Linked DNA regions of Elephas maximus indicus. The protein of the gene in region 3 purifies or fractionates together with the protein of the main gene of each other region. This does not show direct contact. Links are inferred from orthologs where the notes say so. Each region holds a gene or a part of one and is shown on either strand. Other genes may lie near its edges.

Region 1 (7,459 bases), on a different chromosome or scaffold from region 3:
CTAGAAAGTATACCATTAGGTTATCCAACTAATCCCCCTTCCTCTGATTTCAGGTTCACCAAGCTCTGGTGGTGCAGTGGTAAAGCGCTCGGCTGCCAACCCAAAGGTCAGCAGTTCAAACCAGCCATGACTCCTTGGGAGAAAGACGTAGCAGTCTGCTTTGGAAACCCTATAAGGCAATCCTACCCTGTCCTACTGGGTCACTATGAGTCTGAATCCCGATGGCAATGGGTTTAAGCAGCTACCTAACTAAAATTTGCGTTCCCATTCAGATTTGCCTACAGGAAAGACTACATCAATAAGAGGAGTAACTGGTCCACTGTAGGTTAAGAAAATTCATTCTGTCTTTTAAAAATTTTTCTAAATAACCAACCTACCATTATTTGGAAAGCAAGTATTAATTTCATAAGCCCCCCCCACTCAACCATCTTACTAAATAATTTTAAAAGTAAGTTATTAAAGACTCAGATTCCTCTTCTGTAAAATGGGAATAAAACTAAGTACAGAGTAAGGTAAATGTGTGCTTGGCACACGAAAGACAAGGAAATGTTAGTTTTATTTCACTCCACCGCCCAAGTTCATAAAGCTAATAACTGCAGAAAGCTGAGACCTGAATCCAGATTTACTCCAAAACCCATTCTTTCTCCATTACAGCATTCCTTGTAGGTTCTAGTCGGACAATTCACTTAACCTTTCTGGGCCTTATATCTTAACATGACTTCTCTTCCAGGATTCAAGCAACTAAAATTTGTGCAAAAACGACTGGACTGTCCACTGGGAAAAGCACAGCCCTGTGCTACAAAGTTAAAGCCTTAACTTCTGAGATACTCCTATGCTTAAGGGCCACTGGATGGTGCCTAATTAACTTCAGTAAAAGTTCGCTGAATGGCAAGATCACTCCAATAAAAGAAAGACTATGAGAGCTGACTTTCTAAAATCAACGACTGGCTACCAATACAAAGAATGAATTACATTCACCAACTCAAGTTATCTAAAAAGACTGAAAGATCTATTTGGCTTGAAAAGGGTTATCAAAATGGTAAGACTACTATCTTTAGGCTGGAAAATGTCAAAACAAGGACTAAGAACAGCTTGTTTTATAACTAAGGACTTATGATTTCTGGTAGTTTGGTAAATTCTCTTACCAGTTCAAATCATATAGTTGATGCAAATAACTTCACATTAATGCTAAGGATTAATCCAATGCTAAGTTTTTTTAAAGTATTTAATGTAAACTGCATTTTTAAGCAACTTGTTGAAAATTAGAATAGCTCAACCCAAGAAATCTAGATAGACGCAAACAAGGTAAACAAAAACTACAATAGTTAACCAAAAGCAAGCCTTTTTCCCTCTGCAAGAAGTTCAATGGGAATGAATTTAGTAAAATTATTCACGAGAAAGGAGTGTTATCCAAAATAGCTTCCTCTACATCTATACACCTCTCATATTTCACAATATCCTGACCTGATATAAAGAACTTTCTGGTTAGAAGTTTTCCGGAAAGGGGTGCACCAAAGGTTTAGGAAAGTGTTTAATTCATTCTTCAAAGAGTTGCCAAATTTGACTTTCACCAGCACACAATCTTAAAGGACTATGAACATAAGGCGCCTTCTCTAAAACCACGGCTAAGAAAGTCTTTCAGCGCCAAGTCAACCTTTTACGTTAAAAACTTCAGTCTCACTTTCTCAAACTTTCGATTCAATCTCATGACGCCAAAAAAAAAAAAAAAAAATCTGTGTCACAAAAAAATAAATGGAGAAACACACTCTGCGCCCCCACCATCACCACACACACAAACTTTGAAAACTTGTTCCCAGGCTTTCCAAACCCCCACGCATAGGCTCCCCGCATAGCTGTTAACTGGAACCATGCTTTCACACAGGAAAACGGGGTTTTTAGCTGATAAGCCTTTCCCGAAGCAATCTGAGAAAGTAAAGGCAGGATATACTCTACCTGGGCGTTGGCTTTGTGCTCGGTAGAGACGTGGTGCCTCAGGAGAAGGGTTTTCTTGTAGTTGCGGGTCCCTCGCGAAAGCTCATCATGCCCCAGTTGGGGAAGGTCCCCGCTTCCCCCGTCCTCAGGGGTCTTTTGGCACCAGCCGCAAGACATAAGGCCAGTATCCTTGGAATACCGCAGCCAAGGAAAATCTTTGAGCCAGGAGCTCTGGAACGAGCAGTGTAGCTTTTGCATTAGAGACTTGGGTCGCGCAAGCGGGAAGTGCTGGACAGTCTCTCCCTCGCCAGCTCCCACGCCGCTGCCCTCGACTTCGTCCCCGCCATCGCCGCCAGACCGCCTGCTGCTGCCGCAGCTGCCGCCTTCCGCCCCGCTGCCGTCGCCCAGGCTCGCCCCCTCCTCCTCGTCCTCCGTGCTGTCGCTCAGGGACGCGCCGTCCTGCATCAACTCCTTCCCCTCCAACGCGTCCAGCTCCAGGTCCACAGTCGCCGGCCCTCGCCCATTGAAATGTCTCAGGCGCCACGCCGAGGTCTCGGGGCGGCAGCGGCTACTGCCATTGTTGCCGAGACCCCCGCCGCCGCCGCCGCCTCGGAAGGCCAGAGTCCGACGGTTCCTTTCCGCTAGCAGGGGCCCCCCCGCGCCACCGCCGCCCAGCGAGGTGGGGCCGCCCGCGTCTTGCGGGAGCAACAACTCCTTGGTTTCCTCGGCGGCGGCGGCGGCCGCCCCAGCGGAGGCCTCCAGGTCCTGGGGCTCCAGGCCCTCCAATTCCACTTCCTCGTCGGCCCCCCGCCCATTGAGCTGCTGAGGCGCTGGCGGCGCTGGCGGCTGGGGCTGTCGCGGCTGGGGCTGGTGAGGCCAAGTCGAGGCCTCCCCGCCAGCGTTATTGTTCGTGGAGCCGCCGCCGCTGGCGGTGACCAACCCGCCTCCTCGGAACGCCAGCGTCCTGCGGTTCATTTCACTGAACGACATGGCGCGCGCCGCCGCCGCCTCCCGGTGCCCCGGCTCGCGCACGGCCTCGGGCCGCGTCCCGCGCGCTCCCCCTCCGCTTCGCCCCCGCCCCCGGCGTTCCGGTCTCGCGGGGCTCGGCCTCGCCCTCCCGCCCGGCCGGTTCTCGCTCGCTCCCGGCTACCTTTCGCGTCCGCCGCCGCCCGCCGGGCCGCCGCCTCCGGCCGCTCTCCTCGTCCTCCACCCCCGCCCCGCTGCGCGCCCGGCAGCGTCCCGCGCGGAGAAGGGGGCGGGCGGCGGAGAGGTGAGGAGCGAGCCGGGGGCGCGTGGGGCCTTCGAAGTTGAGAGGCGGAGTGCGGAGAGACCCTCCGCTGCCTCTTCTTTAAAGCCGCGCGCACACACAGACCCTCCAAAACAGATATCCTTCCTCCGGCGCACCGAGGAGTCCCAAGGCTGCCGCCGGCTGCCGAGGCGCCGAGGGCGAGGAGCACATTAAACTGCTGGGCTCCGCCACATAACGAACCGACAATAAAGCCGGCGGAGCGTTTCCGTCCGACCAGGCCCTGGCGGAGGTCGAATGGCAAATGAACAACGGACCGTGCGCCCACAATGCACCGGGGTAGCAGTAACCGCTGGAGGGGGAAAGGGTGGGGGCCGGGCTGGGGGAGGGGGGCTGGGCTTGGGGCTGGGCTGGGGTAGGGTGGGGGCGCCAGGGGACCGGGAAAGGGGCCGGGCCGCGCCTCCGGCCTGGGGGCGGGGGTGCGGCTGCGGGGAAGGAAGTCGGCCGAGGGCGGGGGACAAAAGGCCGGGCAGCAGGCTGGGGGTCTCGGGGAGGGGGCGGACGTGTGCAGCCGGGGCCGGGCTACGCGGAGGACAAACAGCTGGCGAGTGTCAGGGTCTGGCTGCCTCCCCGCTGCCCACACGCACCTACCCGCGCCCGGGACGCACATTTTCCTTCTCTCGCTACGAGTTCACCTGGGACTTTGGAAATAACTGTGCGGTGGGAGCTGCGCTCCAGCCTTGTCATTTGGTCGGGGGTGGGTGGCGGTGCCCAAGGAAGTGAACTTAATTTTGTTCCTTCACAAAGACTGGACCAGGCGGTGCCTTTCACGCGAGGAGGTTACAACCGTGGATACCTCCTCCTCTGATGCATTGTGTATGCGAGCAGCAACTCAGGCCCAAGGCAATAATCATTTCACAGAAAATGCACCGCCCCGAGTGTCTTATTGCTGTGATGAAATGGAAATTTAAATAAAAGGTCGAACACGTGCGTTCACTGGGAAGTATTGACATGAGTGTTACATCACCAGCAGCCAATCAGATAACTCCAGTCGTGTTTATACTTCTACAACCACCTTGTGAGTATTACAGTATGTCATAACGTTATAAATATTAGGCAGGGTTTTCCCCAGGAGCGGGGAGGAGTCTGCTTATACGGATGTGGTGCGACTCCGAAGATTATATGCTTAAAATAATTAATTTTTAATTTTTTTAACTGTTTACATTATATGTGGAATTTAGAGCAATTACAAGGACTGATTGAGCTGGAAATGAAGCTTCCATAATTAAAATCTTGGTAGAGTTAAAAAAAAAAAACTTTGAAAAAGCTTCAACTCAGAGCCCCACGCTCATTTTAAAATTCCTTAATACATTACATTTAGTGAACGCTTAAATATTTAGAGTCCGTTTAGGATTTTACAACGTAAGGTAAATTTTAAACTATTGTTTTCAAACTCATTTCAGGGGAAAAATGTTCTCAAACTATGGAAGGGCTTTTTACTCTTTTAGAAAATATGTTTATTAGAAGTTGAATAAAAAAACATAAAATGTGTCCAAAATACATAGTTGACTGGGAAAAAATACTTAAATGGTAGGATACGTTTTTTATACTAATAGTAATACATATATTGGGATGTGCGTAGAAAAAAATACACACAAACTATAGTTAATAGCTAGTGGGAGGAGTTAAGCTAGGAACTTTAACTTTCTACATAACAAATATAGTAATATATATAGTAGTTACGTATTTAGAATATATAATTATATTTTATGTGAAGTTATGTGTGTTTTATAAAGACCATGTATTACAATGTTTAGGCTCTGACGGCGTAGTCATTAAGTGCTATGGCCGCCAACAAAAAGGCCAGCAGTTCGAATCCACCAGGCACTCCTTGGAAACTCAATGGGGCAGTTCTGTTCTGTCCTATAGGGTCGCTATGAGTCAGAATTGACTCGACGGCAGTTTTATGCTTCTTGTTCTTTTTAGAACTTAAAATATATATTGATTTATTTTTCTATTTTTAGAATAACAATATTGCATACTGTCACTTAGTCTTTAAACATATAATGTATGTATGCTTTATTTCTCAAAAATTTTAAAAGATTTTCCAAGATATTATGAAATATTATTTGTATGAATATTTTTAAATGGACTACGTATACGAGTGCAGAGAGTGATAAATACCAGTGATTGTAAATTTATTCAAAGCAACTCTGAATTAATTGTAGTTTTAGTATGTGTGTAAATGAGCAGTGTTGTATATCAAACAAAAAAAAATTAGCTCTACCTTATAGATTAAACGTAATTTTAATGTAAAGAATGGCACTACTAACCTGCCATGAAAAGATTTTGCTTTGAGTTATTTTTCTAGTGATGATCATATGTACCCCTTACCCTGGCCATCCATATTCTTACCAGGCCACCAGCGATCAACAGCTTGAAATTCTGTTATGAAGTCCTTGGGTTAGTATATTTTTGGGGATGTTGTCTTGCTTTATTTTGTTTGTATGGAAGTTTAAGACGGTGGAATCTGTGACCTTGACTTAATTTGTATCCTGTAGAAATGAGAAGATTCTACTCACTTGACTGTATATAATACTATGTGCTTCCATGTAGTATTTGGAAGAGCGTAATAATAACATTGTGCCTTCTCCTTAAATGAGTTATTGTTTTTCTTAATTCAAGGCACTTTGCAAATAAATACATTATTATATTTTAACTACCACCATCCTACCACCCCATCTCCTGTAAAAAGAGGGAAAAGTTACTGAAGTTAATTACTTATCAAAGATCGTGGGAAGTGAAAATGGACTTCAGAATTTTTATTTCAACATTAAAATCCGTTTCCTTCCTGAAACTATTAACTCGAATCTTCTTTTCATCTTTTATGCATAGTACATAAAAAGCAAAAAAAAACAACTTGTTGCTGTCAAGTCGATTCCAACTCATAGCGACCCTATAGGACATAATAAGCACTATGTGAGTTTATGCTAGTATTATTATTTTTGATTTCTGGTAGTGACAGATTAACCAGAAATGGTATTAATTATGTCAGGACTGCATTTGTCAGACATATATCATTGCCTTGTATTTGTTAGATCCACGTTGTCTTCTGTCTGGAATTACGTTTAAACTTGGACTAATTAGAAATGAATGACACTAGATTCAAACAGTACAAACAAAACGGCCTGAATCCTAGGACCACTGAACTTGTAACAGCCAAACTGTTCGTATTTATATTTCTGCATTTATATCTATTTCTGTATTCAGTTGTCTTCCTCTAAACCCTGAAGGAAGATCGAATCAGAAACAAAGATCAAGGGAATAGTAATCACAAATGTCTCAGAATACCCTTTGAGTAACAGAAGGGGATCTCCTACTGTGTAAGTGGCGTTCTTAGGAATTCCCCCACTCCTTTCAGTCTCCTACTACCCAGCAGGGATCTGTTCTCCCCTCTAGCCCCTATATTTACTCTTGGGGGTTCTACCATATTTAAGGGAATTCCCCCTTATGCCTACCAGGGGAACCCCTCAAGAATGGGGCATCCCCAGCCAATTTGTCCCCTAATTTCACTTTAGGCTGCTGTAGGTCATCTTGATACTCGTTTACCATAACTCTGGGATGGGGCTGACTCAATTGATCTTTGATGTTGGAACTTGACTGTCGTTAACTATCTTAGTAGAGGAATACTTTGCCTTTTCAGGTTCTAGGGGCAATAGCCTATCATTCTGTCTGTGGAACTAACATATATATTATCCATCAGAACGAAGTACCTTGAGGCTAGGAACCATATATTATTTATACTGACTACCCCCACCACTTCACCCAGCCTGTCACATAGTAGGCAATTAGTAAAATGTTGAACCCTGAACAGTTTAGTATATTTCTCCTTACAATCTATTTTGGTAAGCAACCTGGCAACCTTTTCGTCTGTTTCCTTTTTTTTAATTTTTATTTTTTAGTTAAGTAAAATATAATATTTTTAATTATTAAACTAATGTTTCTATTTATCCTAATAATTTTTAAATGAACTAAATACATGAATGCATATCCAGACTTGTAAATACTATGGATTGTACAGATTTATTCAAAACAATGCTCACAATAAAAAGTAATAATATATTATGCTGTCATTAGCTGCCAAAAGTTGGCCCCTTACTCATGGTGACCGCAGACACAATGGGATCAGACCTTTGTGATCGATAGGTTTTCATTAGTTGACTTTTCAGAAGTAGATCACCAGGCCTTTTTTCCTAGTCTGTCTTAGTCTGGAAGGTCCGC
Region 2 (7,428 bases), on a different chromosome or scaffold from region 3:
TTGTTGCCCTGGTTTTCTGGCCAGGGAGGTGAATTCGAAAGGGGGAAAGGCAAAGATGTACAAAGGGTCAAAATTCAACTGCACTAGGTAAACTTAAAGAAATCCCTATTTCCCTTGCCAGTGACCAGAAGCAAAGCCCCAGACCATCTACCTCAGAAAGTGCATTTTGGAAATAGACACATATTAATGTAATATTCAGAAATGACTTCCCTGTCTCTTCAACACTTTACCCAAGATAGACGAAAACTTTGATTCTAACCCCAAATATATTCTGCAAGATGCCACTGCTAGAATAAACCAAGATTTACAATACAATCACTTTAAGTGCCCCACAGCTAACATCAATCCTAATCCTTGAGAGGGCTAAAAATAAAGATTGTAGGGCAGCTCACAAGGTAGCCGTGATCAAATTAGGAGGCTGAGAGGACAGAGAGGGATGAAGAAGGAAGCTTATAAACATCTGATCCAGCTGACTGTGGCCATATGGCAGCTGCTGCCCAGATAAAGAGATTAAGAATAGAAGAGTGCGATTACAGCTGTCTGGCCAATTCAGGCAGCTCAAATCTACAAGTTCTAAATTAGTCGCTAACACAAAAACTCCTGCAAATAATTATTGTTATGCTGAAATAAAAGATCTCTTAAATATATATTCGAAAGAGAAATGAGGAAACCAGTCAAACTATTCTCCTGGGGACAAAAGTTTTTTTTTTTTTCCCTTAAAAAAAAAAAACACCCTCGGTTTCAAAAGCACTACAGCTGTACGTTTCAGTAGAGCTGCTGAATGTTTTGAAGAATAAAGTTTCACAGTGGAATTAATTACACAACAATCTAGCTCCTTAACTAGAATAATCTTCTCATACAAGTTTGAATGCTTAATTCCAGACAGTTTACTATTTCTCCCCCCAAAAGCAAAAGTAATCTAAATAGCAGTGGGGGGAAAAAAAAAAGGCATTTTAATCCAAAGTGATCTCAAAAAGCAGTATTTCAAAAGCCTTTCTTAACATTTCAAAAGTTGAAATATTTGTGTATTAAAGTTACTTACTCAAGTAAAAGGGATAAAAATTAAAACTAAACAAGCCCAAGCCTTTCAACTCCAGTAAGATGTTCATTTAGTACTCAATTTCATATATTATTCCTAAACTGGATTAGAAAAGGAATGTGATTTTTTTTAAATTAAATAAACAAAACACCAAAACAGAAATATGCTCGGTCTAATCTATTGCTACTCCTACCTTTAGGACACATAAACCTGATTAAGTCCTTCCCTCTGAGTCTTGCTGGCTCCAGGTCTGTTACATCGGTGGGAAAAAAGCAGACTAAGAGAGACAGATGCAAAGTGGAGATGATGTTAGAGAGGAATGAGATACCTTCTCCACCACAGATCCGCACACACTAACTCCCTGTCTGTGTGTTAGAATAAAAGGCTGAGGGATGGCAGGCTGTCAGCTGCTCTGACATCATGTTCAGATGGAAATGCTACCTCCAGCTGTGCCCCTTTTAATGCCATATGCTACTCCTCTACACTCCTGCCACCAGCTTTTTCTTAGGAGAACTTTTCTCTTCTGTTAGTATAAACAGAATACTTCAAAGTCTCCCTTTTTTTTCCAAACTTTCTAACAGAGGAAATTGAAAAACTCAGCATATGAAGTTCTACTGTATTTATGGAATAGCAACACTTCTGTCTTAAAGTTGGTGGACTGCCTTATATACTGACAAGCACACTCAAACCACCGTGCTATTCAGGAAACTCAGAATTCACTTCTATTCAACGCCAACCTTTAGCTCTAAAGGCAGCTTAGGAATATTTTTAAACCAACCCACTTGACATCTCCAGCCCCATTTCAACATCATTACGGCACTTTCATTTTTTTTTTTTCCCCCTGCTGATAGTGGGATACATGTCTCGGAAATGTTGGAAGACTTACTGAGAATTATGACTTCAACCTAGTTCACTTTATTATTTCACTCTTACTTAACTACTTATCCACAACTACCTTTTCTCAGGGAAAATTTCTCACAGGGCCACAGTTAATGCAAATTTGAATTCTCAGTATCAACAAGCTGAAACTGTACTTTCTGAAATCCTGGAAAGTGCTTCGGTCCAATGAGACAAATTAATAAACTGATACAGCTTGCCAGGGTCACTTAAAATGAATGCCGCACCTGCAGATCTGATCTGCTCAGAAAAAGCAGAACCTTGTCCCCTCCTTGATCTGTGTCCCATAACAATCTTTTTTTGGGTCACTCTGTAATGTTCATGATCACAAGAAAACCTTTCAGAAGAGACAGAGAAAGAAAAAGGAAAAAAAAAAAAAAAACGGGTCTGGTAAGTTTGGGAAACTTTCGCTAGACTTTGTGGGCCTTTTCGAATGGGTCATGAAATTCTAACACAACCCCGGAGGAGCGACATCTGTGAATGTCAAATACAACTCCACAATTTTGGATGGGTGAGGAGAAGAAAAGGAGCTGGGGCCTGAGGCGCAAGTGTCCCAGCCTCGGTGGTAATTACTCTGTTCTCATTAGAAAACTGTGGCAAAGAGTTACAGAGTAACTAAAACCAACAACTCTGTCCTTTTCGTTCCCCCCAAAGTCACAAACCTAACTTTCTCTAACTTCCCGGTGAGTGACATAATTCTGAATGCCTATTTCAGGAGGCACTTTTTGGAGATAAATTCCTTCTCAGCCACACAACCTATTCTCCACAAATGCCCTCGCCCCATTCCAATATATCAGGCATTAATCACCCCATTTACCCAGTGGGGTGGGGGGTGAGTGACAGTTTAATGAGTCCCAAGCACCGCAATGGGCCAGCGACTCCCACTCCACAAATCAACCCTCTACGTCTCGCTACCGAGGTCCAGAGAGGTTTTGTGAGGTTGGGTTTTTGTTTTTCAAAGAGGCGGGGTGGGGGTGCGGAGTGGGGAGGGGAAGAAATGCAAATCTCTACGTAGTTCTCCGAGCCTACAACACACTGGGGAAAGAGGAAGATTAAACCACAGGGAAGGAGGTGTAGGGCATAGAGCCGGTGCAGCAGTCAAACACCTTCAACAACAAACGAGGAAACAGACCCGGGTCACGGCAACAACAAAAGAAAAGTCCTAAGAAGAAGCCAGTCGGAGGAGGCTGGTTGCTACCGCTTCCCCGACGCCACCGCACACGAGCCCCCAGGGCCTCCCGGCAACTGCACCAGCCCCGGGGGCCCCTCCCCCAGCCCCCTCCCCCCGGGCGCCACTGCAGCTGCACCGGTCCCCGGAGCCGCGTCCGTCCCGGGCGCCACTGCAGCTGCGGCAGCTCCCAAGCCCCCTCCCCCCGCCGGCCGCCCTCCGCACCCGAGAGGCGCCGCCGCAGCTGCACCGGCCGGGAGCCCGCCCCGCGCCGCAGCTGCACCGGCCGGGGGGAGCGCGGCGCGGAGCCGGCAGCCCGCACCCGCCCGGCCCGCAGCTGCAGCGGCCCGGCCCCGGCCCCGGCCCCGGCCCGGCCTCCCGCAGCTGCACCGCCCCCCGCCGCCCCAACAGCTCCAACCCCACAAACTAACTCCACTCGTGGGGGCGCCCGGCCCGGCCCGCCCTCCGCCCGCACTGGCCCGCCGGCCGGGGCGGCACAGCTGGCGCCCCCGCCCCCAGAGGGCCGGGGCGAAGGGGCGCCGGGTCAGGGGCCGGGGGCCGGAGCCGGGACTCACACGGAGCGGCCCTAAGTCACCGCGTCCCCGCCGCCGCCGCGTCCTCCGCCGCCTCCTCCCGGCCGCCGCCGCCGCCGCCGCCGCCGCCGGACTTGGTGGGCTTCCTCCTCCTCCTCTTGCCCCCCTCCCGCCCGACCCCCACCCCCCAATCCCGGCTCCGTCGTCCGCTCCCCCCCGCCCCTCCCTCCCTCCCTCCCACCCACCCCCGCTGGCAGCCGGAGGAGCGCGGCGGAGCGAAGAGGCCCCACTCTCAACGGCTCCCCATGGCAGCAGCCCAGCGGCGGCCGCAGCCTGCCAGACACAGCGAGGGAGCGAGCGAGGAGCGAGCGCGGAGCCACGGGCTGGGGGGGCTGCGGCGGGGGGGCGGGGGCGGGGGGAGGGGAGGGGGCGGGAGGACGCACCACGCACGCACGCGGCGGCGCCGGCCAGATGTTCCCCCCTCAGTCCGCCCCTCTCCTCCGCCTGCCTCCCGCCCTCCCGGCGTTGGGCTTCAGCGATTGACCGAAAGCGGCTGGACCGGCGCTCCCCGCCCGCCCCCATCCCGCAGTCTCTTCCAATAGGAAGGCGGCTTTTCGGGAAGGTGAAGGAGGTGGTGGGCAATCGTCGGACTGACAAGCGGGCCCTGCCAATGGGAGAGGCGAGCCGGGGCTGCCGCTTGCATGTGCCAATCAAAGGCAGAAACTGTTGGGGTGGGCGGGGCCCGGGCCGGGCGGGGCCGGCAGCAAAGTGGCGAGGGGTGGAGTCCTGAGGCGCAGCGGCCGCGGCGGCGGCGGCAGCGGCAGCGGCGCCCCTCTGGGTGACTTGGCCGTGAGAAAGTGAAAGGAGCCCGCAGGCGGCGGCGACAGCTGCGCTGGGAGGGGCTTGTTTCCAGGCTAGGAGGCCTCGCGCGCCCTGGGGGTGCGGAGCAAGCGTTTCGGTGCGCCCCGTGACAACCGTAAATGCACTTTCAAGTGCAGTGGGTCTTGGCTGCTCTAAGTTACGCAGGTATCCTCAGGAGGCAGGGTAGACGGGGACACAGATGACTCGAGTCCGGCGTTAGGTGGCTCCCTCCGCTTCTTCCTGCTGCTGGTGACGACGCCCAGGTCCTCGCCTGCCCGAGCGCGGCGAGGCAGGACTCGGAACGTTCTCGCTGCGTCCTGCGGTGTCCGGTCTCCAGGTGCACCTCAGGGCGCTGAGGACGCGACCCGCCCAGAGGCACAGTTTCCGGGCGTTTTCTTCCTTCTGTCGTCATGTTTCGGGCAAAGTAAAACGCCTGAATTCCTCGCAGAACTCTCATGCCCTATATGTACTTACAGTGTTAAAAGTAAGGGCATTCCCAAGTGACCAAATTGTAGAGAGTTTACAGTAAAATGGGTACTTGTAGATGCCCTAGCCTGATTGCTTAATTGGTACTTATCCAGCCACAACTTTAAACTACGAGGGAGGACTTGTGTCACTTTTCTCTCCCCTCCAGTAAACTTTTGCTCAGTACCTGTTCTCCACGAATCGTGTTAATCACTGCCGCGGCCACAAAGAAGGGTAGAAATTTTTACCCTCAAGAAATTAAAAATTCGAGGAGGCAAAGATTACAAGTAAAAAGTTGAATGACAAGTGAAAAAAAAAGTTTCAAGAAAATAGGAAATAGCGTAGTAAGGGAGACAGTGTAATAATGTTCATCGTCAAATGAAATGTATTTATTCTTTGCTAAGTGACCGAGAACTGAGAAGCCCGTTGCTAAACAACTTGCCAGGAGACCTTTCAACAGAGTAAAATGTGGTGGTTTTCTCTTTGTTACAGGTCGGAAAGTACTGTTGGAGCAAATCAGACATGTTGAATTGCTAATAAAGTGAAAACAGGAGCACACAAAATTGCTGGAACTAAAGTACCATTGGAATATCCTGTTAGAAACAATAATGATGCTGTCTACTGTTCACTCACCCTTCTTTGTACCCTGATGACTGCACACTGATATGAAGGTCATCTTGTGATAACTAGAGTGTTTTACTCCTTGCAATCTATTGCTGTATCTGTGCTTTGATGAATTCTAGGCCCAACTCCAGCCCGACCTCTTTAAAGTTAGGGAACTCTGGATAGATGATATACACTGTAAAAAAAAAAAAAAGAGAGAGAGAGAGAGAGATGGAAAAGGGAGTATCGTGTATCATGTTTTGCTAACAGCTCAGGAATAAAGAGAAAAAAAAAGTTTGCATTCTCGAAGCTGTTTCTCACTAAAAATTAAAAATCAGGAAGATAAGAGATCTCTGGATGAATGGACAAAGTATTTGATAGGGCTCAGGTATTAAACAGTACATTTCATGAGAAAATTAAAGCATTCAGAATGTACATAAGCTTACAAATTCAGCTGTAAACCATATAGAGCAACATCACAGCCTTAAAACAAGGTTTTAGAGATTCATCTAGAAGTAGAATTAACAGCCATCAGAGATTGGGGGGAGCAAAGAGGGAGGGAGAAACTGATGGATCAAAAGTTATGACCATTTTTTTTCTCATAACAGTTATTACTAGATTCCATTTTGAGAACTGACTAGCTCGTCCAGGAAATATAGACTAAATGGTTATTTAGAGAAGCAAGCATGCCCCCCTCAATTATATGAAAGATTTATGAATTTATGAAAATGCCTGGAACATTCATGCACTGTCAAAAATCAATAAAAATGTTTCTGGGCATTGATTGTATGCAAGGAAGGTGCTCTGCTAGGGATACGGGAGACATCAAAAAAGTGCAAGACAAGTTTTCTTCTTCCTGGAACTTAAATTTAGTTGGGAAAGAAGTGGCATAAATATATTAAAATGCCAAACAACAGAGACACTAAATGACAATGTAATAGGATATGAATCTCGGAGTTAAATTTAATGTTCAGTTGCTACATTTTATCCCCAATCCCTGGTGCAATTGTATTTTTTTTCTTTTATGTCTTTAAAATAATTTTCACTTTCTGACTTTGAACTGTTTTTTGTTAAGTGTATTGTGCAAATGATACCTTTAATCCTCTTTGGAAAGACATCAGCATACAAAATGTCCAAAAAAACAAGACTGATATCAGAGACGTCATAATACAGAATGATTACTATTTTTCTTCAGCACGCACCGGAGCTGTGAAAGGTAATAAGTCCAACTCTAAACTCCTCCCTTGAGTAAGCTCCTTAAAGGAGCGTCTGTTTACCTCTGTATAATAGGCTTAACATAGTCCCATGATACTTTCATGGCAGATTTTTTTTAAGAGCTAAGGGTTTTGTTTTGGGTTAGTAATCTACTGTCTTCCCTGCCCCCCCCCCCAGTGAAAAAAGAAAAAAATTACAAAAACTACAGTCTCTAGCTACTGGAAAAAATAAACAATTAAACTTTCCCTCTGGAGGAATCACAGTCTTGTAGAGTGTCCAGTTAATCCATGCTTTTCTGGGAGTCCTGAAATTAAAAATGATCCAAGTGAAGCTACATTCATGATTAGATTTCTGGCCAGAGAACAAGTTTTATTTTAATAGCACATACACTTTGACCAATAACAATTTAACACTATAAAATGTTGACGGACCACATCAAATTTAATGTGATGTGCAATTCTGTAAAATGAATGTCTGACTTTTTAAATGTGAACCGCAGGTCAAATCCTTGAAAGACAGCAATTTTTTTTTTTTTATTATTTTGTGAAATAGGTCACATTGAAAAAGTTACCTATAAAAGTAATTTTTGAATGCTAGCTTTTAATGACACCATTAACTTCATATATAATTGGAAAGTTTTTCTCTAA
Region 3 (7,517 bases):
CTGATAACTAATAGACATTTGCTTACTTTTGTGATTTCATGTAAGTGAGAGCATACAAAATTGGACCTTTTGTGATTGATTCATGTCAATTTTATGACTGATTCATGGAAAATCCATGGAATTCAGCCATTGAGGCCAAATGACCCCCTGAAACGATTATCCTGAGGAAATCTTTAAACCTTTAACCAATCTATTCCCTGAAGTCATCTTTGAACCAAATATCAGGTTTAGCCTAATTAGAAAAAAATATCTACATTAAGCATTATACTCTTTTTAAAGAATTATCTATATGTCATCAAATGGACAACAGCAACTCGAAAGGACAGATGAGAAGCTTTGGAGGCAGTTTTTGTTAACGACAGTGAAAGAGTTCGGAAAAGGCTGTTGACAAAAGTGGCACAACTTGAAGAATGTAACCAATGTCACTGACTTGTGCCTGCAGAAATTGTTGAAGTGGTGTAGGTTTTGCTGTTTTTTTTATTTTCACCAAAAGTAAAAAAAAAGCAGAAAAAGACGGCAAAACAGCAAGACAGAAGACCATAGGGTAATGTACCAACCACAGATTTACCTATTTCTGGACTTCTTTTACATGTGAGAGAAATAAACTTCCCTATAATTAAAAAAAAATCCACCCCCTGCACAAACACAACAGGCACTCGCTCCTCCAACAACCAGAGCTCCATAAGAGTTAAGTCGTAACATTTTGACAGAAGGAAAAGTTAAGCTTTCCCCCGCTTTAGCTGTATTATTCACAAGAACATTAATATCACAATAAAACAGATCTGAACACAAAGACTAATTTAAAAAAGTATATTTGTGACCTTCAGTAAGAAGAAAAGTAATCCAATACTTATCAAGGTTATTTATGGCTAATCAAACTGAAAAAAACATAATTTATATTTATTAAGTCCCAAGAAAGGAGAAGGGGAGAGAAAAGAGAAAATAAGAACAACAAAGAAATTAGTAACTTAATACAAACTTGATCACATAAATCAAAGTTTGTCACTAGCATTGCCAATTGACAAAATTGCAAAGTTCACTTAGTATTTGAAAGTGACATAAAGCTTACACAAAACACACACCTGCTTCACCCACCTCCCCACCCCCAACAAAATACATACCTGTTCTTACCTTCTGATCATTTCTATGCTTTTGTTTACGGGTTAAAAAGTAGGAAAGGAACATAATATAACAAAAAGAACAAGAACTTTTTTCCTAAGACAGGCAGGCCTAAATTCCCTATTTGAAGACCTAAATCTACCCCTTTGTGTGTAACCTCGGACAAGTCATTCAATGGCTTCAAGCCCCACTAGACTATAACCTCCATAGGAGAAAGAACCACTTCTGCCTGACTCACTACTGTAAGCCCAGGTCTACAGCACTCAAATATCAGTTTCTTTTTATATAAAATAAGGATGTTAACAGTATTTATCTCACAGAGTTATGTGGAGAATTAAATGTGATATTATGTATACAAATCTCTGGCACAGTGCCTGATCATAGTGAATGCTCAATAAAAATTAACCGTTAATAACATCAGCTAAGAAACCTGAAAGTATCGTTTGAAAGTTTTCAAATACTAACAAAGTTTTTACGCAATAACTATAAATTGTTCAGTTAATAAAATATTTCATAGAAACCTACAAATAGTTGCTAAACCACTGGGCTGGGAATCTAATGAGTGAACCCTGAATTATGAGTAACAGATCAGAGATATTAAAAGACGTTCAGCAGATTCCAACTTTGCCTACTTAAAAAAAAGCATAAGCATCCTCCCCATTGGCTTCCCAACCTCTGGTTCGGACGTCCCCAGCAATCAGTGAAGCCCCCTCCCCGCGCTGAGGAGGAGGAGAGAGGAAAACTCGCAGACTAGGGCCGGAGTTGGGGGAAAGCGAACATCCCTGCGCCTCTAGCACAGACCCACCTTGAGCAGGATGGACGGCGGCAGCTGATTGATGTCTGGGGTTTCCGGGGGTGGCTCCTTGTAACAGTCGCAGGGGACTTCGCGGGGCTCCTGACAGTCCGCGTCGCCACATTCGTGCTGCTTCTGGGCTGGCAAGGGAGCGCCGCCTCCCGCTCGGACAGCGCCCCCGACCGCCTCTGTAGTGACACCTTCAGAAGTGGGGGAGGAGGGCCCAGGACAGAGCGTCTGTGGGGGCTGCTCCGGGCCCTGGCAGCAGCCGGCGTCTGGGGGCCTCGGCGGCGAGGCACCTCCCCCCGCAGGCCCTCCCCCGCCGCCGCCGCCGCAGCCCCCGCCGCCGCAGCGGGGCTGCTTGCAGGGGGTGCAGGCGGGCACCCCGGCCCCCTTCCGCTTGCACACCATCTCGGGGGGCGTGGGGGCCTCGGCCGGCGGTGGCGGTGGCGGCGGCGACGGCGACGGCCCCCGGAAGAGTTGCACGGCGACGGGCGGCCCCAGGAAGCGCACGGGCCCCACGCTGGCCAGGAAGAGGCTCCGGCCCTGCTGCTCCCAGGCGGCGGCCGCGGCCAGCCCCAGCTCTTTGCAGCAGGAGGCGGGCGACGAGGCCGAAGCAGCGGCAGCGGCGGCGGCGGCGGCCGAGGACAGTAGGAAGTGGCGGGCGGCAGCGGCGCAATCCTCGGCGGCCAGGGCCGCGTAGCGCTGCGCCAGGTGCTGCGAGGAGGCGGTGGCGGCGTAGGCCCCGTCCCGCGGCGGCGGCGAAAGCGACGGCTCCTCCTCTGGGCCGGCGGGGGCGGGCGCGCCGGGGCTGTGCACGATGAAGCAGAGCATGCAGGGCCCGCGGAAGAAGCAGTCCCGGCTCCGGGGCGCCGCCGCCTGAGGGGGCGCCTTGGCCGGGGGCCGGCGGGGCAGTCTGAGGAGAGGGCGGCGGCGGCGGCACCAGCTGCAACAGCGAGGCCTCTTCTGGCTCGGGCGGTTACGCGGTTCTTTCGAGAGAAGGTGGCCCATATAGAAGGCCCCGAGGACGGGGACGGGGACGGGGCAAGAGGGAGGCCCGAAGAGGCGGGCTCCCGGCAGCGGGGCAGGCCGCTCGCTGGCTCGGCCTCGGGCCCGCGGTGGGGTCGCCTGCCCTGCACGCACGCACGGACACACACGCGACGGTGGGGGGTGGGCGTCAGCTGGGGGCCGCCCCGGCGCCCGACGGGGGCTACATGCTTTGCCCAGGGAAGCCGGGAGAACGATGGGAGCGAGCTTAGGGGACGCGAGGGAGCGAGAGAGCCTGCCGGCTAGGCTACCAGTCCTGGCTCGGCCCGGTGGCTCAGTCAGTCACCGCGGCAGCCGGGGAAGCGCCGGGTCGGGTTCAGACCATTTTAACTGCGGCTCCGCTGGCGGCGCGCGCGCCCGCGACACAGCTCGGCGCCGCGGGGTCGCGCGGCCCGCTCCGGGAGGGGGCGGAGCCAGCTGCAGCAGCGCGCTCCGAGCTAAGGCGCCGGCGCTCGGCTGCTCACCCGGGACCGCGGCCCGGCAGGGGACTGCAGGAAACAAGTGGTTGGCGTGGGTGCGGCGCTCGCGGGGTGCGGCGCGCGCTCCTCCCTCCCGACGCCCCAGGTCTCGTGGAGGCCGCTTCGCCCCCGCCCTTCTTTTGGGGCGGGTGGAGACGCTTCCGAGCCAGCTGTGTGACATCCGTTTGCACAGCCGCGCTGACGTCTCGAGGTGTAAGTTCAAGAGCTGCCATTGGCCGGGAGCCGCTCGGCTCCCCCCGGAGTGGGAGACCGAGGCCCCCGGAGCGGTAAAACGGCTGCCACCGGAAGGACCATTCTGGGCCCAGGCTGCTCCTCCGGTGGGATGGGAAACGCGTGGCCCTTAGGTGATGTGGGCCCTTGACCTCTTGTGAGGGGCTGATGGGTTCTGGGAAACCAGGCAACCACAGTGTTACCCTACTTGTTTTCATGCTTGTGGCGTAATGCTGACTTTATTGCAAATGTGTATCAAATTGTCCATAAACAACTGAGAGAGAAACACTTTCTCAACCCAGTGAGTCATCCACCCGAACTACAAGCTATAGATGACTTTATTGTCTGCACCCTCAGAATCCCATCCATCATATACTTAAAAATGATTGTCAGGCGCTACACAAACTGTTCGAGGCGGCCCTCGGTGACCAAGGTGAAAACGAGGTTGTGGACAAACAACTTGTTAGAAATTCTGGATATAATGAGAACAAAGAGGGCAGTAACCAGAATGGTACCTGATGGTGAGGGAAGATTAGTTTTCACATGCGATAAATTTGAGAAGGTTCAAATACTGATAGGAATGAGCCAATGTGGAGGAAGAGAAGGGAATGAAAAGAGATGATACAGCAAGGCCACTGAGAAGATAGGGTCTCAGTACCTTAGGAGAGACACTCTTTTCATTGCGATTGGAGGGAATAAGGAAAGGATGAATATATATTACAGATGGACGTTTCAGTCAGGAAGTTGAAAGAGCTCCTTTCAGACGGTTTCTTTTTTCTTTTGCGTGGACCCTGGTCACCTTTGAGGGGAGAAGTGGCTAGTGTTTTGAAAAGCTACTAAGGGTAACTTGAGATAACTTGAGAGAGCTCACTGAGGAAGCAGTATTGCAGAATTCAAGAAGCATCCCAACTTGGGGACCAATGTTGGTCCCTGCCCTGTGTAATTTTCCCACCACAGTGGCCAGCCTCACCCAGCCTTTACTCTTTGAAATCTTTGCTAATACTGGTCTCTTTGTCAAAAATGACTTTTATTTTACGTCTGTCACACAGAGATTTCACCTCTTTCTGAGCTTGATCACCACTTGCCGTGGAGTGAATTATGACTCATGGTGACCCTGGGTGTGTCAGTAGAACTGCACTTCACAGGGTTTTCAGTGGCTGATTTTTATGGAGTTAGATTGCAGGCTTTTCTTCTGAGGCCTCCGGGTGGACTCAAATCTCCAGCCTTTCAGGTAGCAGCCTAGCAACTGTTTGCAAGAAACCTAGGTGGCGCAAAAGTTAAGTGCTCAGCTACCAATCAAAAGGTTAGTAGTTCAGATCAGGTGTCTCAGAAGAAAGGCCTGTCAGTCTACTTCCAATATATTAGGTGGAGTCGACTCGACAGCATCTGGTTTGGTTTTCTGCTTTTGGGGTTTTTTTTGTTTCATTGGGGGGAGGTCTAAGGGCAAAGATTGTTTAATGGGTTTCATGTACGTTATTCACTATCAAATGCACTGCCCAAACTGCATTCACTCATGGATGTTGTCCACACAGCTTTCATCACTATACCTATAGGGTTATCTTCCAGAGCCCTAGAGCTCCACTGACAGATCCTTTGCCATCTCTACCAGGCTGTATTTTGAGCAAAGGCAGATGGTGTTTTAAGCCTTTTCATTACTATCCCTGTGTCAAAATTATGGATCTATCAGTTTCGTATAAGTTAAACATATACCTACTTTTATGACCCAGCAGTTCCACTTCTAGCTATTTACGCAAGAGAAATAAAAGCATATATCAGGAAAAGACTTGTACAAAAATGTTCATAGGAGATTTATTCGTGATCACCAGAAACTGTAAACAGCCCAGATGTCCATCAGTAATAGAATGGATACATGAACTGTATTATATTCATTCAGTGGAATACCACTAAACATACTGATTCACAAATCAACATGGATGAACCTCAAAAACCTTATGTTGAATGAAAGAATCCTTACAAAAGAGTGAGATTCCATTTATATGAAAGACTAGAGCAGGCAAAACTAATCTATGATGAAAAAAATCAGAAGAGTGGTTGGCTTTGGGGTGTGCCTCTGGGAAGAGGCATTAACTTGGAAGAGGCACTGGGTGGTGATTATTGGGTTACATAGGTGTATACATTTGTCAAAACTCATTAAATGGTACTCTAAGTTTTATGCACTTCTCTGTATGTAAATCTTACCTAAGATGTTGAAATCTAGTTAAGGTATACATGCTGAAGTATTCAGGGCACATGAAGTGTAGTGATGTCTAATTTACTTTGAAATACATTTTAAAAACATAAGATGGATTGATGGCTAGCTAGATACACGATAAAGCAAATACAGTAAAATGTTACTTGCAGAATATAGGAGGTAGGTATACAGATGTTGACTGTACAATATTTTCAACTTCTGTTTGAAATTTTTTATAATAAAATGTTGGAGAAAATCATGTGAGTCCATGATAAAATTTAATTACAGCCTCTGCCTATGGTATAGTCCTTTATAACTTTTTTTTGATGGAGACATATCAGAAAAGAGGAGTACACAGAATTCATTTTTAAAAGGGTGAGGAAGAGGCACTTTAGGCAGGTGATTTATACCTTATTCTTCCTTTGTGTAGATATGCAGAAAATAGTAGGGACATTGGCTCACAACGGTGGATACAATGTATTAATCTCATCTGTTCCCTGAAGGAAAATTCTTACCTAGTGAGCCCAAGCGGTTACTGAGTCACTACTTGGGGATTTTCCTGAAGTGTCCCATCTCTTACTGTTTAATACTTATTTTATTCCCAAAAATGTAACTAAAATACTATGTCCTTCCGTTATACCTCCTTAAAATCTGCTCCCCTTCAAAGTCACAAAATATTAGAGAAAATCAAAATCATTGGTTTCCAGTCTGTTTGAATGAATCACTCAAGAAGCTTTTGAAATTCAGATCGAGGGTCCCCTCAGACTCACAGAATCAGACACTCTGGAGTTGGCGCCCTGGAATCTATAGTACCTAATTTTAACAAGCTCCCTATACTGTTCCTACACAGACAGGCTGCACCATGCAAATCTGTCAGAACTACAGATGTAATCTAGCTCTAGTGACTAAGACTTCAAGCGGTTCCCAAAAGTTACAGCACTAGTCTTACTCCCAATTCCAGAGCCATTCGGCGATGAGAAGATCATCCTTGGTCTAACTATTGAACACTGTGCCTCTCTTATAATACTTGTTCTCATAGTTAAGAACTTCTCACAACTGTTCCCACCATCGCCACCCTCCCAGTTCTCCCAAGAGAAACTAAGTTCCTTGAGGCCCCGTCTATACTCTCTTTACCACAGCATATATTAGAGGGTCTTGCATGTTTTATAAATGATTAAACAACTGCAGTTGTCTCTAGAGCTGTAATCCAGTTTTACAATTTATTACCCTAAAAATCCTGATAAATACTCTAAATTTTCAGAAAGCCAAAGAGTTGTAAATTGTAATTATGGAGATAATTGTTGTAGTTGATAGCTTTGTTGGTGAAAAAAAGTAGCCTGCACAGCCAGAAGCAGGCCCATCTCTATCAGCTATGCCTAGTGTTGCCAGGAGCTTGCCTGGCATTTCCAGCAAAGTCTAGGTGTTCTATTGAATATAGACAATCTCACAGAATACCAACATCAAACAAGGCTACTCTGTGACCATAAAGGACGAGACAAAACCAAGACCCCTTTGAAATAATGTTTGAAGACAGCAAATCAAAAACAAACCACAAAAATGACCAAACATTCTAGCTAATATGACTGCCAGCTATTTCTTTACCAATGATAGTCCTAACCTGTCCCATTCTTTCTCCCTTCTAGATAAGAATTATTAAGATACCCAATCATAGAATTAC
Region 4 (7,870 bases), on a different chromosome or scaffold from region 3:
CTTTAACTTTGTTCAGCATTATTTCTTCACTTTTTTCCTAGGTTTTACTGAACAAAAATAGTGAAACCTACATTGAGTAAAAACAATTCTTTGAAATTTGAACTTTGCTAAATAACCTGAAGAAAAGCAACTCTACATAAAACAATGTACAAGTTACTTCAACAGCAAAGCAGAAAAGTAATGTAAATTTCATGTGACACAACAATTTAGTCAAATGACAAATTTGGTTGTCAATTTAATGTTACAGCCCTTATCTATCTAAATTCAGTATCCTCTGGTACAGAATTCCCATATGAATAGAAATAGCTGATCTGTGGGGAAATTTTTTTAATGTAAAAACAATTTCACACATAGTTGAAGTGCAAATGGATTTTAAAATTATGTGTATTAACTCTCTAAAAAGAGATATCAAACTCTGACTTAGGGCTTTACTGATTTTTCAAGTTAATATTTTGAATTTATTATTTCTCATGTTTTCAAGAAATGTCTCATAGTGTGAATCCATACAATCTGGTAAGTTCAGTTCACAGATAGGTTAAAAGCTCTACGAAAAGAGGAGGTCAGCTAACAATACTTGTTTTAGGTTACAACAGGCTGCCTCCCTTCGATGTCCTGCAGGTAAAGATGAAAACTTGCAACTCTGTAACATGAGTGTATTTACTACAATCACCTCCAATTTGACTTACACAACACCACAAGAAGACATCTAATTTAAACATTTTCTACACATTTTTTTTTTTTTCATTTGTTAAAACAGCTGGCTATGTGGAACACATTTTCAGAATGCATTTATTAGTCGTTTGGTAAACATACTAAGGCAAAAAAACACAAATGACATCGATTACCTTTTATCTAATAACTGTACCAATCACTGTAAAAAGAAATACAACTGAAGGAAAAGAGATCATCCATGATGCACTGCAAATGTATTATACCTTAGTCTTAGGAATGATCTGAAGGTGCTGAAAGAGGAGATTCTCTAGAAGGTGATCCAGGGTTTTCTTCAGGTGGAAAAACTGTGAGGGTACAAGCTCGAATGCCACCAAGTGACTCTGGAAGGTCAAAAACTTTGTGCCACTCATCTTTTTCTGGGTCATATTTCTGGACAATTTCTACCATACAACGGTTATTCCAAGAGTACCCACCAACAACATAAATTTTATTTTCAAAGACAGCAACTCCAACATCACTCTGACCTCTTAACATAGCAGCAATTGGTGTCCACTGGTCAAGGGTTGGTGAATAGTATTCACAGCTTAGAACGTCATCATAATCACTTGTTCCCCTGAAGTGATTGCCACCAATGACATAGAGTTTGTCTCCAACTGTACACATGCAATGCAGACCTCTGACTGTAGTCATTGGAGCTTTCTGTGTCCACTTGTCTGTATCTGGGTCAAAGCACATGAGCTCATTTTGGAAAGTGTCATGGGTAATTCCGCCTGAAATATACATTAAACCTCCATACACTGTTCCAGCATGGCCATAGTGGGGTTCACTCATCTTTGCAACATAGCTCCACTCATTCATTCTTGGGTTGTAACATTCTACTGTGGCCAGTTCACCAGCTGCACTTCGCCCACCAACCGCATACAAATATCCTTTGAGGGCGCTCAAGTGGAAGAATGTGCGCTTTTCATTTAATGATGCAACTTGCTTCCATTTATTATACCGAGGATCAAATCTAAAAACAGTATCAACAGCGGTTTTTCCTTTCGTATCATAATTACTTTGACCACCAACCACATAAAGAAAGTTTCCAATGACAGCAATGCCATGCTGGTAACGAGGAGCATCCATCGGGGCTAAAGATTTCCATTCTTGTGCCCTTTCATCATACATTCTTAATTCTTTACTGACAACCAACTGTTGCCTCAAAACTCCTCCTAATGTAACCAAGTGAGTCGAGTCAGATCGAATGGCAGTTCTGTCTGACTGCATCACTGGCTGCATATATGGCATCATCTGGTAATTGCTAGCTTCCAAAAGCAAATTCACACAGGTATTGTCCGTTCTCATGAAATCTACAGTTTGCACGTAATTGATGAGGTCCTGCGGTGTCATCAGTGGAAATCGAATGTTCTTCATTAATTTTGCAGCATAATCCATCCGAGGGTCTTCCAACCTTAGCCAGCGACAGGCAGCCTTGAAGAGTTCAAGTTCAGTACAGTGCTTAAGACTATTACTGGAAAGCACAAAGGCAAGCCGCTCAAAAGGGAGTTTCAGGAACTCCCCAGTACTCAACAATGCAGGAAAATTCTTCAGGATGAAATTATTAACATATTTGTCCACTTCTATAAGATTGTAGGTGTTAGCAATCCGTCCAACCTCAACACAGTTATCTAAAGAGACCCCTGATATAAGAAATACTTTACAGAAGTCCAAAACAGGTAAAATCTGCAAAAAGCTGGCAGCTTCAAGTGTGTCTTGAAGATTGTCCATATTAAGAGACAGTTTCGCAGTATAAATAAAATCAATGATTTTCTTCAGACCAACCTTGTTCACTCCATGAAGCTTAATGCACATTAAATCTTGTTCTTTCATTCCACCCGTAAACATGGCTTTGAAATAATCACTAGCAGACGCCATCATAGCTCTGTGAACAGGGAAGATTTCATCTCCATCACCTGGTACCAGGGTCACATCGCAAAGCAATCCTTCTACTCTAAGCTGATCAAAACCTTGCAATACCACCGAGCTGTGAGTATTGCTGGTAAAAAAGCGCGTGGTTCCTGCCTTGCAAGGCTGCAAATGGGCAGAGACGCCCATTTCGCCGTTACCAAGAGACACTTTCATGTGAAAACCTTCCTCTTGCACAGACAGAAGAATGCTGAAGAAAGAGGTTAATAAACAATGTTTTCGAGGAAACGAGGGCTTCCAAAGAGCAATACAGCTCGCTTTCCTTAACAAGGGCGAGCAGTAACTGTGGCACCCCTCAGGGCACACCTGACAGTCATCCACTGAAAACTGCTCCGTAGGACCACAAACGGCTGCGGACCTCAAATCTGATTATTATGCAGATGAGTCATCACCTGAAGGCAGTTAAATAACCCGGTTCACCTCGGCCGGCCTGCGCTGCCGCTCCTTCAGGCGCCGCCACGTACTGCAGCTCCGCCGCGAAGCCGGGCACTTCGGCAAGCGGCCCGCTGCGCCCTCCGCTGTCACCAGCGCGTCGCCGCGGTCACGGGCCTGTCTTCGAGCAGGAGCCTGGAACACGGGCCTGGGCCTGGGCCTGGGCCTGGGCCGGGAACACGGGCCTAACCCGAGACGCCGAGCCACTCCTTCCGGAAAAGCCGAGTCCCAAGATGCCCTGGGTTAGGAGCGGCCGCGGCAGCTACTGCGGCTGCGCACTCGCCTGACCTCATCGGTGGGCGGGCGTGCAGTGGAGGGGAGAGGAAGTGCACGGGATGCTGGAGGGAGGGGCGGGGGACGGGGAAATGAGGTTGCGAGGGTGGGGGCGAGCAGACCTTCCTAGGGTCACAGTGGAAGTAGCCCTGAATGGGCCGCAAGGAGTGCACGTATATTTTGCTGCATTTAGTATAACCATTTTTGCGGTGTCTGAGCTCTCCAAAATGCATATTTTTCCTATGAGATTTACACTTCCTGCCTTTGCCTTTTGAATTTCCTTGAACCTGCCAGTGTATAAATTGAGTGGTAACCTGGCACCGGAGGGGATGAGAAGAAGATACTTAAAATTTTTTGTCTATAAAAGAGTTTACCTGCAATTCTTTTCGCACACAATTTAACAGACACTTCAATTATCATTTTGGCTCATATTTTCAAATTTTATTTAAAACACACATCTCTCTGAAATCGTGATCATATTATATCCTGAATTTGTCCTGAATTTTTTGCTCACAGTGCAATTCCATCATAAATAATTTCTTCATGCTTTTTTTTTGTTCTCCATTCACAATTTACTAAAAGGTTACACGATTTTCCAAAAACTATGTAAAAAAAACTATGCATATTATTATTTCCTTCGCCCATTATTTGTTCTTGGATGTATACATTCTTGTGTCCATTGTTTTACAGAATTTGTGACAAATTTATAGAATCTGGACACAGAACTTCCCCGCGTCTGGATAAAAACCAAAAAAAAAACAAAAATAAAAACAAACAAACCCAGTGCTGTCCAGTCGATTCCGACTCATAGTGGCCCTATAGAACAGAGTAGAACTACCCCATAGAGTTTCCAAGGAGCGCCTGGTAGATTCGAACTGCCAGCCCTTTGGTTAAGCAGACATTGCACTTAACCACTACACCACCAGGGTTTCCACGTGTCTGGATAAGGGTACAGTAATTAAATTCTAGGATTATGGTCTACCGAAATAATACTAAACATGGAAAATTATGCAAAAACATGTCTATCATATAACTTAATTTTTAATACTGAGGAATTAAAAATAATCGAAATAGTCAACAACATGGTAATGATTAAGTACGTTATTGTACATTCATATAATGTGCTATTATGTTGTTGTTAGGTGCCCTCAAGTCGGTTCCGACTCATAGCGACCCTTTGCACAACAGAATGAAACACTGCCATGTCCCGCGCCATCCTTACAATCGTTGTTATGCTTGAGCTCATTGTTGCAGCCACTGTGTCAATCCACCTTGTTGAGGGTCTTCTCCTTTCCTGCTGACCCTGTACTCTGCCAAGTATGATGTCCTTCTCCAGTGACTGATCCCTCCTGACAACATGTCCAAAGTATGGAAGACGCGGTCTCGCCATCCTCGCCTCTAAGGAGCATTCTGGCTGCACTTCTTCCAAGACAGATTTGTTCTTTCTTTTGGCAGTCCATGGCATATTCAATATTCTTTGCCAACACCACAATTCAGAGGCGTCAACTTTTCTTAGGTCTTCCTTATTCATTGTCCATCTTTCACATGCATATGATGTGATTGAAAATACCATGGCTTGGGTCAGGCGCACCTTAGTCTTCAGGGTGACATCTTTGCCCTTCAACACTTTGAAGAGGTCCTTTGCAGCAGATTTGCCCAATGCAACGCGTCTTTTGATTTCTTGACTGCTGCTTCCATGGCCGTTGATTGTGGATCCAAGTAAAATGAAATCCTTGACAACTTCAATCTTTTCTCCGTTTATCATGATGTTGCTCATTGGTCCAGTTGTGAGGATTTTTATTTTCTTTATGTTGAGGTGTAATCCATACTGAAGGCTGTGTGGCCTTTGATCTTCATTAGTAAGTGCTTCAAGTCCTCTTCACTTTCAGCAAGCAAGGTCATGTCATCTGCTATTATATAGCCATAAAAATACTGTTTGCAACTGTTTTTAACACTGTAAGTAGATATACGATAAATGTATATGTACAAAATTGCATTTATGATCTAAACTATATGTAGCTGGTTTTCAAAATTAGATTTGAAAAGAAAAGGAAAAAAGCCTTAATTTTATTATCATTAAACCAATTCTTTTCCAGATCCCACACCCCTGAATTATTGGTGGTAGTATTAACTACAACTGAATGTCCAATTTTATTTTAAGCTTAGTCTGATCTCATGCTTCAAATGATCTGTTTAAATGATCAGTCTCTGAGTCTTTTCCTTCTGATTTTTTTCTTAAATGGTGTCTGAAAGTATGGGAATGGAGGCTTAATGTTCTCCTGACCTTTGAGAACCCCACCTCCAGCTTGGTGTGGTCCTTGTTTGTGTGCTGGTGGCACCAGGTCTTCAGAGAGATCTCCCTTGTTCTTACTGAATATACATATATTAGATGAATATATACTGAATATATATAGCAATCTGCAGCTGGCCAACCTAGGTTCATTCTTTTAGTTTAGTCAGACCTCTCTGTGAAAATCACCTATCTTCTCTATTTGTTGATTCAGTTTTCCTTCAGCTTTGGGTGTCCCAGCCTGTAGACCAGGTGATCCACACCAGTCATGGCTACAAGTCACATCATTCTGCCACTTTAGAGGCTTATTGCCTCTCAATGCAGTGTTCACCACAAAGGCAGAGAGGACATGTCAGGAGAGTTGTAAAGTTCAGAGTCTGTCTTTGGCTGACCATTCTGTGATGCCATGATTATGTGATGACCCTCCAGATTGGTGTGGGGTAACCCATGAGATGGTACCCAATGACCATTCTTAAAGTGAGTAGCGGGACAAGAACCCATTGTCTCTGGTGCTCACCTCAACCTACCTGGTATACTTTTCTCTTTTCAGAAGATAACAGGAAACAAAGTCTGATTATTTTCCCTCCTTCCCTCTTTCTTTGTTCTTACAATTTTCTGGGAAGGAAGAAAGAGAGAACCCCTTTCTGCTAAATACTCTACATCATACTCTACTGGGTTCTATTGTGGTGGCTTGCCTATTGCTGTGATGCTGGAATCTATGCCACCAGTATTTCAAATACCAGAAGGGTCATGCACAGTGGACAGCCTTCAGCAGAGCTTCCAGATGAAGACAGGCTAGGAAAAGGACCTGGCAGTCTACTTCTCAAAAAACTTGCCATTGAAAACCTTATGAATAACAGTGAAACACTGTCTGATATAGTGCCGGAAGATGACCCACAATGACATGGATGGAGTAAGCCTTCTGGACCTTCATTTGCGATGCGGCACAACTCAAAATGAGAAAAAAACAGCTGCACGTATCCACTAATAATCGGATTGTGGAATGTACGAAGTCCAGGAAAATTAGAAGTTGTCAAAAATGAATTGGAATGCATAAAGATTGATATCCTAGGCATTAGTGAGCTGAAATGGACTGGAATTGGCCATTTTGAATTGAACAATCATATGGTCTACTATGCCAGGAATGACAAATTGAAGAGGAATGGCATCACATTCATCGTCAAAAAAAAAAAAAAAAAAAAATCATTTCAAGATCTATCCTGAAGTACAGCAATGTCAGTGATAGGATAATATCCGTACAGCTACAAGGAAGACCAGTTAGTAGGAATATTATTCAAATTTACACACCACCACTAATGGCAAAGATGAAGAAATGGAAGATTTTTACCAACTTTTGCAGTCTGAATTGATCAAACACGCAATCAAGATGCACTGATAATTACTGGTGATTGGAATGTAAAAGTTAGAAACAAAGAAGAAGGATCAGTAGTTGGAAAATAAGGCCTTGGTAAAAGATGCAACACTGGAGAACATCCAACAGGATTTTGCAAGACCAATGACTTCTTCATTTCAAACATCATTGTTCAACAACATAAACGGCAGTTATACACCTGGACCTCACCAGATGGAATACACAGGACTCAAATAGACTTCATCTGCTGAAAGAGAATGAAGAAGCTCAATATCATCAGTCAGAACAAGGCCAGGGGCCAACTTTAGAACAGAACATCAATTGTTCATAGGCAAGTTCAGGTTGAAGCTGAAGAAAAATAGAGCACATCCATGACAGCCAAAATACAACCTTGAGTATATCTCACTTGAATTAGTGACCATCTCAAGAATAGAACTGATGCATTGAACACTAATGACTGAAAATCAGACGAGTTGTGGAATAGCATCAAGGTCATCATACATGAAGAAAGCAAAAGGTCATTAAAAAGATGGAAAAGAAAGGCCAAATTATATGTCAGAAAAGACTCTGAAACTTGCTTTTGAATACAGAGTAGCTAAAGTGAACAGAAGAAATGATGAAGTAAAAGAGGTGAACAGAATATTTCAAAGGGCAGCTCAAGAAGACAAAGTAAAGTGTTATAATGAAATGTGCAAAGACCTGGAGTTAGAAAGCCAAAAGGGAAGAGCACACTTGGCATTTCTCAAGCTGAAGGAACTGAAGAAAATTCAAGCTTCAAGTTGCAATATTGGAGGAGTCTATGGACAAAACATATGTAACGATGTAAAAGCATCAAAAGAAGATGGAAGGAACACAGAGTCACT

The links.
Region 1: the proteins of FBXL17 (region 3) and ZBTB10 purify together in Homo sapiens (affinity purification with western blotting; 3 studies listed by BioGRID and IntAct, with this or other methods). This does not show direct contact. The link is inferred for Elephas maximus indicus from reciprocal best matches to the Homo sapiens genes FBXL17 and ZBTB10.
Region 2: the proteins of FBXL17 (region 3) and ZBTB18 purify together in Homo sapiens (co-immunoprecipitation; 3 studies listed by BioGRID and IntAct, with this or other methods). This does not show direct contact. The link is inferred for Elephas maximus indicus from reciprocal best matches to the Homo sapiens genes FBXL17 and ZBTB18.
Region 4: the proteins of FBXL17 (region 3) and KLHL9 purify together in Homo sapiens (co-immunoprecipitation; 3 studies listed by BioGRID and IntAct, with this or other methods). This does not show direct contact. The link is inferred for Elephas maximus indicus from reciprocal best matches to the Homo sapiens genes FBXL17 and KLHL9.

What each region holds. Positions count from the first base shown.
Region 1 is NC_064833.1:61,170,367-61,177,825, forward strand, and holds the start of ZBTB10 (zinc finger and BTB domain-containing protein 10), read right to left. Parts: upstream 3,002-7,459; 5' UTR 2,923-3,001; coding exon 1,954-2,922; intron 1-1,953. UniProt on the Homo sapiens protein: May be involved in transcriptional regulation.
Region 2 is NC_064842.1:20,159,491-20,166,918, forward strand, and holds the start of ZBTB18 (zinc finger and BTB domain-containing protein 18), read right to left. Parts: upstream 3,015-7,428; 5' UTR 1,246-3,014; coding exon 1,233-1,245; intron 1,192-1,232; exon of another isoform or gene 1-1,191.
Region 3 is NC_064820.1:117,507,027-117,514,543, forward strand, and holds the start of FBXL17 (F-box/LRR-repeat protein 17), read right to left. Parts: upstream 3,018-7,517; 5' UTR 2,924-3,017; coding exon 1,925-2,923; intron 1-1,924. UniProt on the Homo sapiens protein: Substrate-recognition component of the SCF(FBXL17) E3 ubiquitin ligase complex, a key component of a quality control pathway required to ensure functional dimerization of BTB domain-containing proteins (dimerization quality control, DQC).
Region 4 is NC_064827.1:30,999,978-31,007,847, forward strand, and holds the start of KLHL9 (kelch-like protein 9), read right to left. Parts: upstream 3,006-7,870; 5' UTR 2,797-3,005; coding exon 943-2,796; 3' UTR 1-942.